Styela clava: one gene and its partner. The protein of the gene in region 1 purifies or fractionates together with the protein of each later gene. This does not show direct contact. Links are inferred from orthologs where the notes say so. Each region holds a gene or a part of one and is shown in the gene's direction. Other genes may lie near its edges. The genes, in order: N-alpha-acetyltransferase 50-like; N-alpha-acetyltransferase 15, NatA auxiliary subunit-like.

Region 1 (11,317 bases):
TACTGTTGGGAAATCAAATAATGCCAGACTTTTGAAAAATTAATAAACTTGTGTTTTGTTGGATTTGAGCTATTTGTTACATTACAAGACGAGATTTAGATATTATTGTTTTTTTAATTTCAATTACTAGATATAAAATATGGATACAGAGAAAGTCTGTTATATTCGAAGATAGTCCCCCTAATCAGCACCTACCATCTAACAAATAAAAACTGCAATCACTTACAACAGACTCAACATTGGAAAAAATAGAAAATCACCTAATTTTGTCAGAGAATTTGAAATACTAAGGAATTGTATTTGAAATATAAATCAAGTGTGTATAAATTTAGTATGTATAAAAATGAACATGTCCAATATATTTAATAATTTACTTTTATTGTACATAATATAACTCAATATACTAAAATTGATGAATTGTATGCCGATGCGATCAACACCTCGTCCTCAAACACTGATGGAATGGACATATGAAAAATGAATATTGGATTATTTATCTTATGATTGATCGAATGGTTATATACTTTTGGTTATATTTTATTAAATTATCCCATAAAATAAAAAATGCAGAAGTATCGGTACTAAAATATAACTGTGGGTATGATTGGCCGATATAGTACCACATTTCTCTTTCATAACTGATGAGCTTGTACCTAAACACAGTAATATCAATACGAAAATCAGTTCCTCAATTTGAACGTACATCAGGACATCGAAGTGCAGGAGTTCTTTTCACTTCTGTATTGAGATCAAATATATTTAAGACAATAATTGCACATTTTTTAAACCTGTGTCTATGTGTATGTATCTATTTTATGACTTTATGATGTAAGAAAGAAATATGTTTTTTAATTATAATACCTTAAGAGGCTAGGTTAAATCAATATTTAGAACGTTAATAAAAAGTGTATATTCTTTTACAGTTTTACTGGTTTTGGGGCAATACTGAATAATATTTTCTTATTTTTCGATAACTATTTTGTATCATTGGCTAAAAGTAAACTAAAGACACCTCATTTAAGTACTGATTTTGGTGAATAAAGCAATAGGATAGGAGAAAGAATTTTTGGATCTTATGTAGTTTCGTACCTAACATACTTCTAGTAGGCGTAGCATACCAATCTTTTTACGTGTCAATCCTGACCCTCACCTGACCACACCATCCAAAAATGAGGTCACTACGACATCACAATGACATAATAGAGCCCTTCAAACTATACGAACTGTCATCTAAGACGCGCAGACAAAAACCCGAAATCGAATAGCCATTTCTCTCGTTTCTCGTCGCAACGATCCCGATGTCAGCTCTTTATCGTCGGCGCCGATGCCATTTACTGGCGATCGGATGAGTATCTTGCAAGCTCTATGACGTGATTGCGACGCCATAGTGACGTAATTTTTAAATGGCGTAGTCAGGTGAGGGTTAGGATTGGCATGTCAAAAAATTGTTATGCTACGCCTACTCGAATTTTTATGGATAGGAAAGGAGAAATCTTATAAGATATGGCTTTATTATTCGATGAACATTGGGAAGATAATGGATGTGCTGGGCAATCAGGATCGCTTTCAATAATCGTCAAAGTCAAATAATAGTTATTGATTTACCTAAGCTTAAATATTGGAGTTAGGAAAAGGTACACAGTGGGTCACTTACTTCTTTTTTCATGCCATGAGTAGTTCACAAACTCTGAATGGATATTCTGTCATAATTCATATAACATTTTTATCCTTTCAATTCTTGTAATCTAGAGATATGTTATGGTTTTAATAATAAGCTATTAGCACTGGCAAAAAGCAATGGCGCATGGTTCATCAACCCAAGGTTTCCATGAGTTTAAATACGGGGATTTCACAGACAAAGTTGAAATTGGGGATGGAGATTATGGTGTCGTATATGCAGCTAGGCACCGTATGTTCAATAAAGTTGCTATTAGAATCATATCGCGCCAACATCATGTCTCAGAAGGAGAGCGAAATTCTTTAATAACTGAAGCCAAAAAGTTGTCTTCGATTGTATCTGGGAATGTCATTCGTTTACTGGGTACAGTTATAGAGCCGGGGCATTTATGTCTCGTGTTTGAATATGCTGAATATGGATCGCTCACTAAACTTTTGCAACGGTATGATATTCCTTGGCCCTTGAAAACTCGAATATCGCATGAAGTTGCAATGGGAATGTGTTTTCTTCACCAGAAGGACATCTTGCATCTATTGTTAAAGTGTACAAACATACTTGTCACTGGCAATGTTCAAGTCAAAATAACTGATATAGGTCTCAGTGGAAACATAGAAATGAATAACTGGACAAGATGTGGTAGAATTTATAGCCAAACCTTGCGATCAACACAAAGAAGATCTGGGGGCAGCTCGATAAGTCATGTACCCCCTGAGCTTATCAGAGATGTAAATGCTGCTGCTGACAAATCCGCCGACGTATATGCATATTCTATCGTCCTGTGGCAGATTCTAACCAATAAGATACCGTATGAAGGTAAAGATACAGGTGCAATTTGTGTTGGTGTTTTGGAGGGCGAAAGACCGGATATCTCAATTATAAGTCGTGAACATCCGGAAGTGTTATCTGATGCTATGAAAAAATGTTGGCAGGACGAGAAACAAAACAGACCCACATTTGAGGATCTTGTTCGTCGAATTGGGCCAGTGTCTGCTAATTGTGAGGATGCTTCAAGAAAGGCTGCCCTCGAGTGTCAAAAAAATGTTCAAGATTTTTATTTTCCTGACTCGGAAATAGCAGCGCCTACAGGAGATCAGCAGCCTGCAAGGCATCACCATAGGCGATTGGATGCTCCATCTCATATCGGGAGAGCTAATGCAAATGATGGCGTTGCTGTACCAATGCAGAGAAACGATGACACAGTTCCTTTCCAGAATTCAGCATCTTCACAGCCAAAGCCTGTTATGGTTTCATTGATTGTTCCTGTAACCGATCCTCAGATGGAACTCAGTCGCTCAGTGTCGGTACCACCTCCAGATAATAAAGCTCCGCCAATTGCACCAAATCCAACATTATCAGAGGAAAAATATTCGAAGTTTGTTGGTGTTGATGAACTGTATCTAGTCGCCGAAGAACTTGGCCGTCATTGGCGAAGATTCGGTCTTTACCTAGGATTTAGTGATGCCCAACTTGATAATATTGAGGCCAATTTTCACAAGCATGGATTCCCAGAGATTACTTATCAAATGCTAAGAAGATGGAAAGAAAGAAATGGAAATGTTACAGTGGGGTTTCTTTTTAACACACTTCGTGATGCTGACTTATTGCATGTTGCACAAAAATTGGCTTAATCAGTTTGTAAATAAATGTAACTGGGAAGGATGGATTAGCACTGATTATATTATGTATATGGTGACCCTTAAAAAAACAGAACCCATAAGTTTGTTGATAACTTCTACAGAATTTGAACAAAACGTCCTAGATTCCTGAAATGATTTGGTACAAACCTACACAAACAGAAGTTCAAGTATAAACAAAATCAAATAATTTACTCCATTTTCACAGAGTAATTAGGAAATTTATGGATTCTGTTTTTTCAAGTGACCTTGTACATTATGGCATTGCCTCAATAGCATATGCTTTTGTGGTATCAATTAGACTTTTTTGAATATTGAATAGGAAGCGAACGTTACATTTTTAAAAAATAAATAAATTTTTTATTGATTGATTTGATTAATAATTTTTTTCACGGTAGCAAGTTCACTTTCTCAATAATATTTCTTCAAGAAAAGTTCCAGAATTTTTTATCCAAATATTTTGTAACCCTTTGTCATTAAATTCTCTGTAATGACATATTTTCTTAAACATATAATGTCTTTGATTATTGTATCCACTCGTAATCATGTATACCTTTCTGATTTTATTGTATATTTGATATAATTTTTTTGTTTGTTTTAAATACATTGTTCACTAGTTTTTATGCAATGTTCACTTAGTAATCTCCTTGATGAAATTTAGTAATTTGAAAGTTATAATTTTTTTTCTAATTATCGAAAATCACTGGCGCTAGTTAATTCTCCCTCTTTATTCAACTGCTATAATAGTAGATATATTCGTAAGCTTTCAAAGCGATCGAAGTCTAACTACATCGGACAAAACAAGATGTAACTGTGAAGACAGATCATAAAAATTCTTAGGACCGAATTTCCATCCTAAACTAGAAAATATGTCTATATTGGTTTATCATTTTTTACGTTAAATGTCCTGCTTTAGGGTATAGTTCTAAAAATTTTTTCCAATTCATATGACAAGTAGATAGCAGATATCATAAGAATTATTATGTCCCGTCCTTTTTTCATCTGTTATGGAATGAGTATTTTTGCTCTGCCTGTCTTTTTTGGCTCTGTCAGTGGCTTTGACAAGATGTGTTTTTCAGCAATTCCTAACAAATATATCTATATCTACATAATCCATGCTACTCTTCTGGTATGTGTTCTTCAGGTACCAGGATGTGTTGATGGGTGTCTGTTTACTTAGAGTAAACTTCCTGTTCCTAACCTATTATCCACCAGATGATGCATTGTGTTTAAGAATGGCAGGGAGTGTTTGAAATTAAACTTAATGAGTGAATGGTAGCAGTATTGTATATATTTTTTTAAGTCTTATAATTTTGATGTCCTAGTTATGTTATGAATCTTTTGTAAAAGCGTAAGTCAAAAATCTCCAAATATCCCAGTTTCAATTATGGCCATGGAACAGCTCAAATATTTGGTCACCAATTTGGTTGGATGTCTCTTGAATTTGTGGGAAATTTTGTTATTAAATTCAAAGTTGCAAGATAAAACCTTTATTGTTAGGTTTATTATGTCTTCAAAATTTTGGATTTTGTTGATTTCGGTACTATCATTTATATATTGCAGTATGTCTACTGTGGTGATGTGTCGCAATATGTGATGATGGATCTGGAGATGTGATTTTGTCTATGTGTCAATTTCAATATAATACAACTGCAATAACAATATACAAATAAAAAACAGGAACTATAAAAACGGACTAACTTTATAGACATTCTGATAAACCAGCATGAATAGCCGAGACAACAATAGCCAGATGTTTCTTATCACATAGTTTTCTAGTTTTCAATCCTGAAAATCTTTGTTTTTACAATGATGCTTGTGTGCCTAAAGTACTTTATAAAGAATATGACTTAATGAAAGCTTACAAATATGCTTGCTATTTTGTGGAGGAATATCATGGTATTCTTCATTCTCCAGGAATGCTATTGGGTAAACGTGTAGGCTATATGATTTTCTAAAATTTATGTGGGTGCTACACTGCAACTAGTGTTTTGTTCGCTAACTGTCATATTTTATTGATGAAATTTTCATTCAATATTCTGAAACTCATTATTCAACAAATTGCTGCTCAGAAGTAATTCACTTTATTTTGAACCGGTAATTTCTCAGCCTGTGTTTTAGCTGTGATGTAGGCACATTTATAAATGAATATATATTTCGAATTCCCAAGTATATTCTTTTACAAAGTTTGAACCTGAATTCAATAACTGAAGTTTTGTGCGACTTTGTGTGTTTTCAAATCTATATTTGTTTCAATTTTTTTTGTCTTCATTTTTCTTGTATATTTGTCACTATCCATATAGTTATTACCTTGACAGATAAGATGAAATGAAGTTACTAGGCCTACTACTAATTTGGTTCTACAACACTGGTATAAAAACAGTAGCAAAAATCTTGCTTGTGAATTTGTTGATTTAAATTCAATGAATAATAAAGCAAAGTATTAGATTATATATATATTATATATATAACAGCACTGCTTAACAAAGGTATTGTTATAATCTGTTTTATTCATTTGGATTTTGTGTCACTTATGTATGAACATTTGTTTTTTTTTATCAATAAATGCAAAATTGTTGAAAGCCACTGGTCATACCAACTATTCAATCAGTGTATTTTATTAGTTTTTCTCTATCATGTGTTTGTAAATGCATATATTTCTGTATACTTATCTACAATCTGATAATATACAAACTTGCAAAAAAGGTGAAATGAAAATCGTTCATGTTTTATTCATTTACAATTTTCTTACCTTATGCTGATTTTTGTTTCTCTGTTTCAATTGGATTTTTAATGAAATATTTGTCCAAGGCAAAGTTACAAAATCTCAAATAAGACTTTGATCTAGTAGTCTCTACATTTCCTTACATTTTAACTTACTTCCCTATTGTTCTTGGAGAGTCCACAATTTTTTTTTCTCACTATTGGAAACAAAATTCAACAATTGATGACCATTATTCATGTGCATGCTATCATTATTTTTGTCATTGTTGAAGTATGCTTGTCTGGAAAAGTATGACTTTGGTCAGAAGAAACGCTATAGAAATGCATTCGTCGTAGTGCCGCAGGACTCATGGGGTCACCATGAATATTGTCCATAGCTTGTGTTGGTGAATTGGTTCTTCCATTACTCAGAAAAATGTTGAGACCCTGATTATATGTTCTTACTGAGTTTTGTGTATTCAAATTTTTTTTTTTTCGATTCCCTTATTTTAGAATTCATACTATTTATTGTCTAATTGTGAAACAATTGTCAACAATCTTGTTCATCGACGTCAACTGCAGTGAAGGTCTGTGGAAAATTAACTAGCGTTTGAAATTTCAATGAAGAATTTGTTAGTTCCTACTGCAATGGATGGGTAAGCTATTATTTTCAATTTGTTAATCGAAAATCTTGCACTACTGACCCATGTCCAGATTTCACCAAAGGTTTCTTTCTGTTCTGTTACATCACTCTTATGCATACAAACTGATTATTTATGTTCCCTCCCTGTAATGTCAACATCCATACATCTGCAAGCCTGACATGGATTGTCGAATAATCAAAGAATTACCTTGTGTAATATTATGGTCATCTTTTACTGAGATAGTATGAATATATATCAATTTGTCATCCTTAGCATCTTTGGTGGCACCTTGCTGTTTGGTGCAAAGCTTTCTGGTACATTTCACTGTTAGATGCATGGAATTATATGTATCTTTGAGTATTTGTTCGATTTATTTAAAATTATTATTAATTTTTTTTATTTTAGAGTTCGTATTGAACTGGGAGATATCACACAACACAATATAAAACAATTGAAACTCTTGAATCAAGTTATTTTTCCAGTTTCATACAATGACAAATTTTATAAAGATGTTCTTGATGTTGGAGACTTGGCAAAGCTCGGTAAGATGATGTTTTTTCATTCAAATCACTAATGTCCAAAACTGATAATTTATACCACACAAATTATAAGCGAATTGGCATATTTTGATAGTTAAATTTTCCTTATTTTCATAAGAGACTGAAGTTATATGGCGCGGCGATGTGGCTCATCATGCTAAGTGGTAGGAATACGCTCGCCACTGCACCTCTGCGGCTTCCACCACCATCAAGTCCATGCTTCCGAAAACAAATAAGTAACTAATCCCATACCCGACATGGAATGGTAACCAGACGAGAGGTCGTGGTTCGCCATATATTAAGCCGTCTTATCGGCTTTCCTCTCACCCTGGATAAATATGTAAATCCCATCCTATCCTTATATTACACTTGAAAATCTGTGTATTTGGCATTTGAAAATACTGTTTTTCAGCATTTTTCAATGATATAGTGGTTGGTGCAGTATGTTGTCGAATAGATAATTCAAAAGGAAAAAGGAGATTATACATAATGACGCTTGGTTGCTTAGCACCTTACAGAAGACATGGTGTTGGTACAGTATTGCTCAACCATGTCTTCAAAATATGTGAAGCTGATAAAAATATTACAGCAATATTTTTGTGAGTATTTTATTTCCTGTTGTTTAGAAACAAATGTGTATTCTCAAAGGTTTGGGCTGTTTATTTTTTTTTCAAGAATACCTCGTTAATTTTGGAGAATTCTAGTTTAATATTATCAACTATTCAACCTATTCCACACTTTCAATAATGCTCCTCATGCCAAGACTATTCTAACCTTGAATATGAATTCATGACATTTTTTGTTTCAAGCGCTTCTACTAACTCCTGTTTATGATTATTATTTTCAGACACGTTCAAGTCAATAATCAATCTGCTCTGGATTTCTACATGAAATTCGGTTTCGAAATTGTTCAAACTGAAAGCCATTATTACAAAAGAATAGAGCCTTCCGATGCCTATGTATTAGAAAAAAAGCTTGAGAACTGTGCTGGAGCTACATTCAATGGGAAGCCTTGATTCCATTCAGATTGCTCAGCACTTTTCATTTGATTTATGTTCCAACTCCAGTGGTTTGGTTGAAGCTCTTCCATGCATGTTACAACAGTCTTAAATATAAAAATATTTAGTTTTATAAAAACAATGCCTTCAGTTTTGGTGTGTCGTATCTATTTAGAAAATTTTTGTCAGTACGTATGCAGCTCTGTGCATGCCAGGGAGTGTTCTCATCATTGAGTTACATTTCATTCTTGGCTATTGCTATGTAAACTGTGTTGACAAACTGAAAATACATTAGCAATTGGCTTTTAAACAAAATTCCTAAATTAGGACATGCTAAAATCTCTTGTTATATGAAAAATTTTATCTTCAATGGTGCAGTGTACAAGTTTTACAAAGTGTGAGAAAGAAAAATGCCTTGAATAATAAAATGTTTGTTCTATTCTGTATGTGTGAAAATCCCATTCTAGAAAAGTCATTTTTATTTGAACAACCCCTGCTGTTCATCTTTTCCAGTCAGCATTCCAAAGACATTTATGGGTCAATTGGGGTTGGGTATCAATTGTAATGGCATGGGACAAAATATTTCATTCATATTCACTCCTATAAACGTCTGTGTTTGAGTACAAGCCTAATTATGATTGGTCAAATGCAAGCAAAAAAGATTTTTACATAGAACTTGAGTGTTTATAATATTTTAAAATCACATTGAAGGATTCTTGTTGGCCAAGGCCTAGATGCTAATGATCTTCAGTTATATTCACTTGTTGGACACGTAGTGGACATAACAATCGTTTCAAAATTTTGTTGTTATTGTTATTATTTGTCTCCGTTAACACGTTTTGAAGAAATCGCTTTTCTCTTCGAATATTGGACCAATTGCTTTGAAATTTTCAGTGGTTGAAGATGAAAAATTACTCCAGAAGGCTATTACTTTTTTTTTCGCTATGACGTCATCCAAATTATGTGTCCATATATTTGAGCATAGCTCTCTTGTTTTATAAGTGTCGTCACAGTGTCACTAATTCATAGGTCTATATGAATATATACATTTTCGTGAGAACTCATGTGGGAATTGATAGTGTGCCTTGAAAGGTTTCATATTGAGTTTAATGCTTGACCCTGCTTGCAAGACGTATAGGTAATTGTGCACTGTACTCGCTTGTATTGAGCCCAGTGTTTGTTTGAACTTGGAACGGACTAAATATTTTATTTTTCTTGTATTTTAAAGTGAATCGCTTCAAATAAACGTCCTTGGAATTACAGCTTGGTTTATTTAGCGTTGACAGTGAGATACAAAAAATTGGATGTGTTTTTCGCATATTAGTAGTATATATTTACGATTAAAACAGCTTGAACGGTAGAGCGAAAAGGCCGCTAAATGGTGGGAAAGGAAAACGGCGGTAAATCCTAAAGAGTAACAATTCCACCAGATTTTAACTGCCGGTCGTTTATTGATATTGGTGAATGTAAGCAATTGTCAACTTCAATAATTAAAGCGAATAGGGGCTTTCATATTTGGCTAAAAGAAAGGGAAGGATGGAAACAGTTTAATGGTTTCATCACAGGCGGGTAGTCGCGCACGGTTTGAAATGTTATGACTCCTAATACAGTATATGGAGACTCGATGCACCTCTGGGAAAACCGCGGTGTTGTCAGTCTGGCTTCGAAGACTAAAAGACACTGAAATAAGAAAATTACGCGAGTGCGAACCGGCGAGAGAGTTCATGAGTTTGGGTTTGCTTGTGCTCTTTTTGATTTTCTATTCATTAGCGACGCGGGAAAATTCTTGATGAGATAACAAATGCTGGTATTTATTTTACCAAAGCATGGCGATGTTAGACAATCCAGACTGGCTCTTGGATCACATTCGCCATTCCTTCATTACAAGCGATGACACAGGAATGTGCGAAATGGTTCTTCAGGACAACGATATGATGACACTGTCACAACACAGGTTGAGAATTAAAGAGTTAAAAGAAGCTAAGCGCATTGAAAGGGCGAAAAAGAATCAAGTAAGTTTAAATTTTCTAGTAAATTCAAACAATAAAAATTTCTGAAATTGATGTCTCTTCGTTCAGACGTTCTGGTATTATTGCAAATTTAGCTTTTGATTTCTTATGAACAGTCATTGTTGAGGTAGGGGAACAGCTGTTTTATTTGATAGGTATCCTATTTCTGTATTTATCTTGAGTACGGTATCTTAACTTCTGAACTTGTATTTATGATAAAATAAATGCAATAATGGCTTAGTTCATCTGGATCTATATGATAAATATTGTGTCATTTCGCTTATTTCTGTTTTTTTAGTAAGTTTCAAAATAATATCTTAACATAGTATATTTTGTATAGTGGGTCAAACGCTAAAGACATAGAAACTCGTTGTTGTGTATGGTCCAGTATGGAATGAAGGATTGATTGACAAAAGACCCAATAATAATAATACAAGATATTTACAGAATATCATTGATATTCCAGAAAAAAGGTTTACCTGAATCATTTGGAAGATCAACACCTGTTGGATCTCCTCGAAGAACACCATCAGAATCGTCAACTACTTCATCTTCTAATCCTGTTATCGATGCTGATTCATCTGAAGCACTTTCTCCTCTTGCTCCATCACCTGATATTCTTTCTGGTTTGAAATTTTTCATGAGGCTTTTTTACCTTCATGAGCTACTACTGATACATGAGGAAGTACTATATGTTGAAGGACAGAATTGTTTTCATTGTATAGAGGGTTTTGATGGCCCAGTCTGGATTTCATGGCCTTTTTGAACGAGAAATCGGCTGTGCAATCAGAAATTCTCACGTGCAAATCTGAATTCCCGGCTTGCAATTATAGCTCACAGCGTGCAAAACAACTGTGCCCGCGTGCAATGATTTTCGACTTTAGATACTGTTCAGTACATCCCCGTAAAGTTATTGGATAGAAAATATGTTGAATCAGAACAAAATGGACATTCGACCTTTGACCCCGAATATTATTACTATACTTCGTCACTAATTTTGAGAGTGTTTGTGCAACTTTAGATAGACTTTAGGTACATCCGTGTAAAATTATTGTATAAAAAATATGTAGAATCAGAGCCGTAACTGACCAGCGCCGGCAAGTCTGGCGATC
Region 2 (10,143 bases), on another chromosome or scaffold:
TTAGACGACGATATCTTGCTTAATAATAATCTCGAGTGCAAAAGAACAAATCAAGTTTGACAAATTCCAAGATCGCAAAAATACGACTCCAATTTATTTATAGTTGGCAGTTTATCACGTATTTTATGAATTTTTAGAATAGTATTCTTTCATTTTAGTAATCCTAATAGTAATCTCGAATGAAACTCGAGTAACTATGAGTACAATTGAATTATTACGACAAGACACTATAAATGCTCGCATCGGCCATACATTGAATATTTTACGCAACAGAAATCTCGTTATCCGTTTTTTATAATCGCAAAGAATGTTGCGCGGAAATTTCCGATTCAAATCTCCACCTCTTGAGAATCCTGGCTGCGCTGCAGCTTATAAATAATGTCATTTTTTAATTCCGCCTCTTTGCCATATTTCGAGGCTATATTGTTGTCACATTTTATCAAAGTTGTTATTGCTTCTTTGAACAGTTACAAAACTAGTCATTATTTTGAAAAGTAATCGAATAGCTCGCGGAGCCCCTGGGTTTCTCTCGCGGAGCCCTGGGGCTCCGTACGGAGCACTTTGAGAACCTATGGTCTAGGGGACATGTGTAAAATTATATAGGTTACTATATATAAAAATCAAGAACAAAAAAATAACAAAACGATCCATAGGTTCATTTCGTTTCCAACAACAAAAATACCAAAACGATCCATAGGGGACTTCGTTTCCAACGACAAAATAATTCATAGGTCCATTTCGTTTTCAACAACAAAACAATATATTTGTTCATTTCGTGTACAATATCGACATATAATAACGTGTTACCTCACCTGTACACCTATCATAGCTCTTGTCTGCTACTTCTCCATTTTGGCAAATTTGCACGTGGGGTGTTGGTATTCATTGTGATGTCAGAAAAAAATATATGAAGCGTGAAACCTTGCGCAAAGGAAAAGTACGGATAACAGCTGAGGCGAAAACCGTCGAAATCTCATGCTATCTTCCTGGTGCGCACGCCTTTCCTTTGTAAGATTTACTGGCGTCAGAATGAAATATTCTCGTCAGTTTATGCGCTAAAATGACTCGACTAATATGGTGCTCCTACAATTCAGCAATTTCTGAATTTGCATATGTCACTACCGTACCGGTATTTTTCAGCATATAAAATTGATTGATTGATTGATAAGTTAAACCTAACTACATGAGACCCGACTGCTATATGCCTATTTCAGTATTTTGAGTTTCTTACAAGTTTAGGCGCGTTAACCTGCTGTCTGATTGTGTAAATTCCATGGGTTTGCTTTTAAGGCGGAAATACGCTTGTCGTCGGGGAACCCATAATCCAGTAATCACAGTATTTTGTCTGTTTGTGTGAGATCATGGCAGCATGGGTTGAAATCTAGTGCTTTAATTAGTGAGAATGGGCTGGTGGCAAAGAGAAGGGCGATAGGCCCACTTGTACAGTTGTAACTTGCAGATTTATGGTACCTTATTTCAGTATTAACTCAACAGAAGTCATATCACAGTATCAGGAATTAGGCTATAGATAAGATAATTCAGAAATTAGTGCACTTTCAGACTTTGCTGATTTTAGCTTAATTTTTTTCGGGTGGTCATGAACTTCTGAACTTGGTTTAATAGCAAATTCCATAAAAAATATCTGGTTTGCTGTACTTCTAAAAATACCAGTTAAAAATAACTCCCACTGTCTGACTGTGTCACTTGTACTTACCTGTCTACCACATTTAGTAATTGATTTTATATGCAGTTATTCAAGTTGGGCCATGAAACATAGTTTTTATTTATGAACACGGTACCTCACCTGCTTTTAATATTCTTATTGCATTACCAGTATGCCTTGTGTTTTTAGATAAGAGTTAGTGAAATATTTTTAATTATTCGCTATTCCAATATCAATCGTTAATCTTGTTAGTCATTTCAATATTGAACATTAATTTCAATTAATTCAATGTATTAACAATATATGTTAAACTCCTTATTCAAATTTGTATTTTGAATAAAAAAACTATCCTTAAATATAACTGAGTTGCAAAAAAATAATTTGCAAATTGTTTATCAGTGGCTAAATAATTTTATACAATTTGTTTATGGCGAAAATATTGGGCGATATCCGCTAGACTTTATATTTAGATTCATTGTTATGATATGTCAATTTAATCATCAGATGTTTTTGCGGTATGAATACATTATGGTTAGATTTTAAATTGATAACAAACTAGAATTTTTGTCGTTAATTTTGTTGTTGTTAATTTGGTATCAATTTGAATATTTCAGTAGACTAGTTTTAGACATCAAGTTGTTTAATGCTATTATTGAGAATGCTATTTTTTTGTCTGATATTTTCTTATGAGTTCTAAGTTAAGACATAAATTTTATAGACTCTTACATTTCATTTCATTTGAAATGAGACACATTTGTTTATGTGTATTTTTGATTTATACTATACATAGACAGACATACATATTTTTAATTATTAACATTTGGCCATGTGATGTGGCTTGACTCTCATCCCTCATCCAATACCCAGGAGATTGCACTTGGGCTATAAATACATATATTTAAACACATCAACTTTCAATTTTTCTTGCAATCTCTCATGGTAATATGTCGCTCAGTTTGGAATTTTCAATTTTCCAATGCCTCACATTCTAATGGTCTTTTCATTCTTGTTTTTATTGTTCATGTATCAGTTCAATGCAAATTATGAATTCAAAATAAACCCACTTACAAATTACTTATAATAATTTAATAAGTAGTTTATTGATGGATATGGTTCAATGCAATGATTTTTCACAGCATAGATAATGTTTTTTCAGATTAGGCTTGAGGTTAACCAACAGCCTAAGATTTACGGGTGTTCATCATTCAACTGCAGGATTTTTTACAGCTCAATTTTCTTTGTTTATTCTGTACCCTCATGCCTAATCTGAAAAAACATTATCTATACTGGGAAAAAAATTATGTTAATCAAGTCTGATGTTCAACTGAAATTTTTATTTCTTCAAAATCTCCACTCTAATTTCTCCAGCATACTCTAATTTCTGCGAACTCAACAGTTCTGTCAATAATTTTTTATTTTATCTTTCACTTCAGCACTTGTTTGGTAGAGTTCTACATCTATTTTGCATCATATATGCTACAGTATTTCATAATTACTAGCAATTAGGGTTGCCACTTCTGGATACATTTTTTTTCGAATCGAATCTCGAATCAAAACTTTTCGAATCGAATCTTTCCGAATCTGATTCCATTAAGCTTTTTTTTTTTATTACATGCGTATGTTTGGCCAAACTCACAAAAAAGCTCAAATCTAGAAGAAAAAAATTTGAAAATGGAATAGGCTATATAGCAAGGGTGATGAGGGTTTTTCAGTGAATAAGCCACACTTATTTTCATCATGATAAAAAAGATGTAGGTCATAGATATCACTAATAAATGCATTGATGAAAAACTTGCTGTTGCAACTTATCTGTGAGTCTTACAATACTGAGTTATTGTGTTATACTTGTATCAGGGCTGAGGCAATTTGATGGAATTCATATGAGAAAATAAGCAGGGAACAGTTGTACTGTTATGTCGTAAACACAGTAACAGCACTGCTTTCCCTTGTCCCACACCAGTATATGTGACCGTGGTATTTCCCTTCTTGTTATATTGAATTAGGGACGGCCTTATTACCGATTCTTTATCTTCAAAATCTTAGTACAATATTTTATATTTATGCTAGCAGCATAGAGTAATACGACAAAAACATTCTAATTGCATCTGAATTACTATAAATGGGAAATGCTTACAAGAATATGATTGAAGACGATAAAATTACCACGATTAAATTAAATTAATTTCGATAAAAACAATCGTTCATCCGACTACGATTGCGAACAAAAATTACCATAAATATTAGAGACAGTATTATTTGTGGCAAACAGCGTTATTGGCTAACTCGGGCTTCATTATTAATGTGGACTACGTTTAATTTCGTAATTCAGAAAGTCCAAATGTGCATAATGGACGCCGCGCTGACTAGCGATAATTGGTTGACGCTTTATCTCGATCAAACATGGTCGCTGGGGCTAAAGTAAGACGACATTCGCACCGTATGCTCGGTCTGGTATGAAATCTGCCACGTGTTGATGTAAAACAGTGCACAAGTTGCCATTCCTCAAGTATTATTTACTCCCACCTGTCCGTTATGACATTTGCTCGAAATAATCCGAAATGTTTTATCCGCTTGTATCGCGCTAACAAAATTAAAAGTAAATACTACTTTTTTTGGTAACAGCTGAAAAAAGACGTGTATGTACTATTACATTATGTCCCCCTGATTTCGTTTACCGCCACTCGAGTGGAAGCCTGACAAACGCAAACAAAATAAAAATATATTTTAGGATGAGATACATGATTGTAAATTAACATTGCCGGCCGATGAACTCATTCAGCAATAGTTCTCTTCAAATGTACGCGAAATATTGCTCTCAGAACAAAGTTTAAATTAAATTTCAATCAAAATTAAACATTATCTAGACGTCGGTAGCCGATTCTTTATCCAATCATGCCAGGGCGTACAATAACTTAGTGGCAGCGCAGGTGTGCTGTTGAAAATTTTCATCAAAATTGTCACGAATTTTCAGGTATACGATCCATTTGAATTCGCGCATAATGGAAACTTCGGCTATTTAGTGGAAAACTGAACTCGCAGTTTGCTGGTAATTACGCCACACATCATCTCGAGTGATGCGTAAAAGAGTGTGTTGTGTCGAACTTCAAACAAATGACGGCAGACAAGTAAAAAAGTCAATCACGAAAAATTCATTTTCATTTATTTACGTCCCGTAATTTATTGCTATTTGGAGTGCCGCATAAACGCATTCGGCAGTTTAAACGCCACCGAAAACAACGATTAACAAATATTCAATGTTTTTCTTTCGGTCCCGTAATTTGGTGTTATTTGGAGTGCTGCATAAACGCATTCGGTAGTTTTAACACCGCCGAAAACAACGATTAACACACGTTCAATGTATTTTTTTCGGTCCCGTAATTTGGCGTTATTTGGAGTGCCGCATAAACACACTCTGGCAGATTTAAAGCCGCCGAAAACGACGATTTAACAAACGTTCAATGTTTTTTTTTCGCTAAATCGCTCTCTTTTTCCGAATCGCGTAAATCTGATTCGAATCGATTCGGAAAAGATGCGATTCGAATCGATCCGATTCGTAAATCCGAAAGTGGCATCCCTACTAGCAATCAAATTAATTTTGCTGTTAACTAATATATAATTTATTAAAAATTTCATAGGAGATGGTTGTCAAGTTGTTGTTAAACTTACCGATTAGGCCTTAAAGTTCGGAATTTAACTCTGCGTCATATCTGATCAATAGAAGAGCAATTGAATTGATAAGCCAGTAGGTTTTTCATCAATAATTTCAAAATGCCTACCAAACAGCCATTGCCACCCAAGGAAAAGACGCTATTTAACAGGATATTGGTGAGTAGTCCGATATCTCCTCTGAGAATTATTTTACAATAAATCTTCAATTTCAAAGTATGTAATTCATATTACGGTATATATAATTCTAAATGTCTTATTGGTGATTCAATTCAAGAGTCTTGCTGCACACGAACACAAATGTATTTCTGTAACGTTTCGTCTGACCAAGGTCAGACTTCTTCAGACAAGCATTTTATAGTTGTAAACCATATAGTCCATTTACACTCTTGCTACAGCATCCTTGCGTAATACGCATACGGATCCACCTGCGCAAAGGCATAGAGAGCAAGGAAATGTAGTTAGTTTCACGCAACCTCAACTGTTAGTCACTTATTGGTGAAATAGTAGTTTTTTTTATGTTTATGCTTTTGCCATTCGCCTGTTTATTATTACTAATTAGCTAAATATGAAAAATTTATTCATTGCTAAGTTGAAATATAACAGCATTTCTTGCCTTGAGCACAAAGCTTCGAATTTGGGGTTTTCCAGTTTTTACTATCATTACTGAAAACACTATTTTTGTTATCTGACTGAATATTGTTTTGCATTGTTTATTCTTTTCCTTATGGAAACAAATTTTATATTTATTTTATATGAATAACATCATGTTCCTATATTTTTAGAAATGTTACGAACAGAAACAGTACAGAAATGGACTGAAATTTGCAAAACAGATTCTTTCTAATCCAAAATTTGCAGAACATGGAGGTTTGTTTGAATTTTATCATTTCTATTTTGAATTTATCCATTTAGGTCCCAAACAGTCAACGAGAGAAAGAATACTAGAATTCGGCATAATTCATGCAATTTGTAGACCTTGACTGGCTGATTACTAGTATAACGGGAATATTGGTCAGAGACCGAAGACTTACGGTATCGATTGAAAGTTAGGGGATCCCCCAAAACAGCGCTCTTACTTCGTAGTGACACCTTGTGTCCCATTACTAATTAATTAATAACTCGCTGATTATACACATAATTCATCCAAAATCAATAGGCTTCTGGTCCGAAATATGATGAATGCACATGCAAAATCTGGAGCAGATTCAATCTCGCTTTCGTGAGATATCGGCGATCGCATGCATCTAACAGACAGACATACAGACAAATAGCTATCAACATACTTACCGATTAAAATCGATAAGTAACTAGAACACCAAGTGAGCTAATCTGTAACGCAGTATGACAGGAGCTTTTTTTGTCAATATCATTGTTAACATATAATTTAGTATAGGTTCAATAATAGTAATAACATTATACAAGAATTATCCCATCTTTTAAATCATAACAGAAAACATTGTTCAAAAATGTGATCGTTACAATCCTCACCTTAATTTGACTACTATGAACATTTGGCTTATCTTGTAGATCTTGTAGATGTCAAACTTTTCGTGTTTGAGAAATTGTACTTCATGGTCTTGAATTATCATAATTAATTACAGAAACATTGGCGATGAAAGGGCTCACGCTCAACTGTCTAAATAGAAAGGAAGAAGCATATGAACTTGTGAAACGCGGATTAAAAAATGATTTAACATCTCATGTCTGTTGGCACGTCTACGGTCTGCTGCAAAGATCTGATAAAAAATATGATGAAGCAATAAAATGTTACAGAAACGCTCTCAGATGGGAAAAGGTATATATATATATATATATATATATGTGTGTATATGTTTTTATTATTTATTAAAGTTGATTTAGTCAAGAGTTTCTTTTGTCAGCGAATGTGAGTCTTTTCTCATTATTTTCAAAACTACAAATATTTCAAAAAGGAAGTCTATAATTATGAATTTTGTTGCAATAGGGCAGGGGTGGGCAAACCGCGGCTCGCCAGACTTTTTGTGCGGCTCTTCTCGCTAACATAAAATATTATCCAAATTTCAACTAAGAGAAAAACTTCAATGTAAACTCTTTTAATTTATTAAAAGTCGTAAAGAAGTTTTCGTCAATGATTAGGACAAATTATGTTTTAGTATGAAAATTGCTGTAGAGTTGAATTTTGAATTTAAGTCAGTCAAGTCAGCAAATCTTTCGTCACAATGGTCAATGTTTATTGATGCGTCGGCGGTATTGAAGCTTGATTGCGGTTAGTTAGTCTAACTAAGTTACTGTGCAATATGTCCTCAATTAAAAATGAAAGTACGAAGATGAAAACAGAGTTGTCAAGTCAGAATGGGAAGAACGTACGAATTTACCAGTCAGAAGAATAAACTTTTGTGCTTAATCTGTCATAAGCTACTAAGTCAGAATAAAGTCAGCAATGATAAACGGCACCATGAAACGAATCATGAAAACTTCTTACGAGACTACCCTCCTAAATCAGCTATAAGGAAACACAAATTAAATGAACTTAAATTGTGCATATATTTGAGTATAGCTGCCTTGTTTATCTATTTATTGTTATTAGACTCTTGTGTGAATTTCTTTTCTGTTCATGGTATTTTGATAATATTAATAAATTCACAAATTCTGCGGCTCTTTTAAAGTTCTGACTTACAGCATGCGGCTCTTAAACTGAAAAATTGTGCCCACCCCTGCAATAGGGTAATTGTGCAAAATACACAGATATATCACTTCATGATTACCATCAGAGAATAATTTTTAATCATGATACATAATTTATTTTCATGGGGTAATATGCTGATCCTGATCAATTACATATATATGATATATAATATTTTATTGTTTTTTAGGACAATCTTCACATTCTGAGGGATTTATCTATGTTGCAAGTTCATATGAGAGATTTGGAAGGATATAAGGTTTGTATATAACAGTTTTTTAAATTTTCTGGGACGCAATTGGTAGGGAAATCGATTACTGGTGAGTTTTAAACTGGAAATTAGGTACTTCCGAAGTATGTGAACCAAGATGGCGGACACCAGAACGTAGCATGTGTTCCAGGTTAGGGTTAGGCCATATTTTTTTTTCAATTTTCCCCCATTTTGGTTCTATTACGAGTTCAGGGACTAGTCAAGTGACTTGCGCAGTATTTGTACCTGAAATTATGGCCTAACCCTAACCTGGAGTACCAGAAATTCTGAATTACCTAGTCTGAGTCTAGTTTGAAATGGAATATTTTGTATATTCAGCAATCTAAATTTAATTTTCAGAAATTCAGTTAAGTTAACTTATTTTGTTATCTAAGACGGTGCCAAACTGAAAAGGAAAAATTCCTGCTACTAACTATTCCTGCTACTAACAGAAGCTTCTAACATAACGTCTTGTACAAATCCTTGCTATTATCTTTATCTAAATTATGATCGATACAATGGATTTCTTGCTGATGATTTGAATGTTTAAAAGCATATATGAGTCAAGTATTGTTAACTTGTTGTTTCACTTTACCAGGAAACAAGGTACAATCTACTGCAGTTGAAGTCTGGTCAAAGAGCATCTTGGATTGGTTATGCAGTTGCAAATCATCTTGTGAAAGATTTTGACATGGCTTTCAAAGTCTTAGAGGAGTTCAGAAAGACACAACAGGTGATATGATGGTTTTTTACTCAGTTCGGAATAGATATTGTAAATTAAAATATTATTTTGTTTTGTATGTAACGTTTTGCCAGAAATAATTTTGAGAAGTTTTTTGAGTGAAATAAGTTTTTTTATGTGTTTCGAGTCTTGTTAGGAGGAAAACTACTCTAATGATTGCCAGTGACTTTCTATTATTAAGAGCTTTTACTGAGCCTTGTGATTAGTGTATTGGCATTGATCGTTCGTCTGCTTTTGTTGATACATAATGCACCACTGTGTATCTTTTATTAGCTTTTAGCATTTCAGTCGTGTTCACAGTGTTGTGCTTCTGAGTAGGGCTGGGAATTTTTGAACATCTGTTGATTTCAGAACTGAATCGAATATTTTTTTCGAATCGAATCTCGAATACTTGGTAGATATGTAATTGTATTGTTTTATTGTAATAGGTCTTCCAGACAAATATAAGTGAAAACGCGTAATCTATTACCCAGACAGTTCGCTGAGTTCTCACACATAATTAGGAACATGTTTCATTCACTCACTCGGAATGAAAAGAGACACATATGGCTCGAATAGAAAAAAAAATGAGGAATTCACCTCGACCCTAGCCCTACTTTTGAGTGAGCTGGAAAAAAAATCTTGTTGAAGTTTGGTGTACAGAAAACCTTGTCTGTCAATTTACTCAAGTGTGATAAATTGATTAGGCAATGTGGGCTCGGAAAATTGTATATCAGCGTTAGTTGTTAAAAATATTGTGCGGTTAAATATTTTTTCAAATTTCTTATTTCTACTTGGAACAGGGTCAAAATGGTGACTATGAATACAGCGAGCTGCTTCTATATCAAATTACAATTTTGATAGAAGCTGGAATGCAGGGACGAGCACTTGAACATCTCAATAAACATAAAGCCCAAGTAGCAGACAAGAATGCATTGATGGAGTTGAACGGTATGCAAAAATAAAACGATTATAAATTTACTGCAGACCTGGCAGCTGATGTATGAGACTATTTTGGTATGGAGTTACTTTCACCACAGAGAAGATAGTTTTATAATTGGTATAAGAGTCGTGCCTGTGACAGTGTCACTCCAACTATTTTGCATTGGTGTTGGTGTGCGGTTAGACTCTTGTATTGTTACTATATCAGCCTTGCAGGTACATTGATCCACAAATAG

Evidence for each region.
Region 2: the proteins of N-alpha-acetyltransferase 50-like (region 1) and N-alpha-acetyltransferase 15, NatA auxiliary subunit-like purify together in Drosophila melanogaster (affinity purification with mass spectrometry, with the first as the bait; 3 studies listed by BioGRID). This does not show direct contact. The link is inferred for Styela clava from reciprocal best matches to the Drosophila melanogaster genes san and Naa15-16.

Annotation. Positions count from the first base shown.
Region 1 is NC_135251.1:20,783,364-20,794,680, forward strand, and holds N-alpha-acetyltransferase 50-like, read left to right. Parts: upstream 1-6,506; 5' UTR 6,507-6,636; coding exon 6,637-6,671; intron 6,672-7,064; coding exon 7,065-7,201; intron 7,202-7,610; coding exon 7,611-7,797; intron 7,798-8,045; coding exon 8,046-8,214; 3' UTR 8,215-9,456; downstream 9,457-11,317. Other genes in the region: receptor-interacting serine/threonine-protein kinase 1-like, read left to right, coding at 1,798-3,306; target of rapamycin complex 2 subunit MAPKAP1-like, read left to right, coding at 10,023-10,208, 10,672-10,831. UniProt on the Drosophila melanogaster protein: N-alpha-acetyltransferase that acetylates the N-terminus of proteins that retain their initiating methionine. Has a broad substrate specificity: able to acetylate the initiator methionine of most peptides.
Region 2 is NC_135258.1:12,775,979-12,786,121, forward strand, and holds the start of N-alpha-acetyltransferase 15, NatA auxiliary subunit-like, read left to right. Parts: upstream 1-5,281; 5' UTR 5,282-5,431; coding exon 5,432-5,488; intron 5,489-6,114; coding exon 6,115-6,199; intron 6,200-6,933; coding exon 6,934-7,127; intron 7,128-8,184; coding exon 8,185-8,253; intron 8,254-8,842; coding exon 8,843-8,977; intron 8,978-9,768; coding exon 9,769-9,916; intron 9,917-10,143.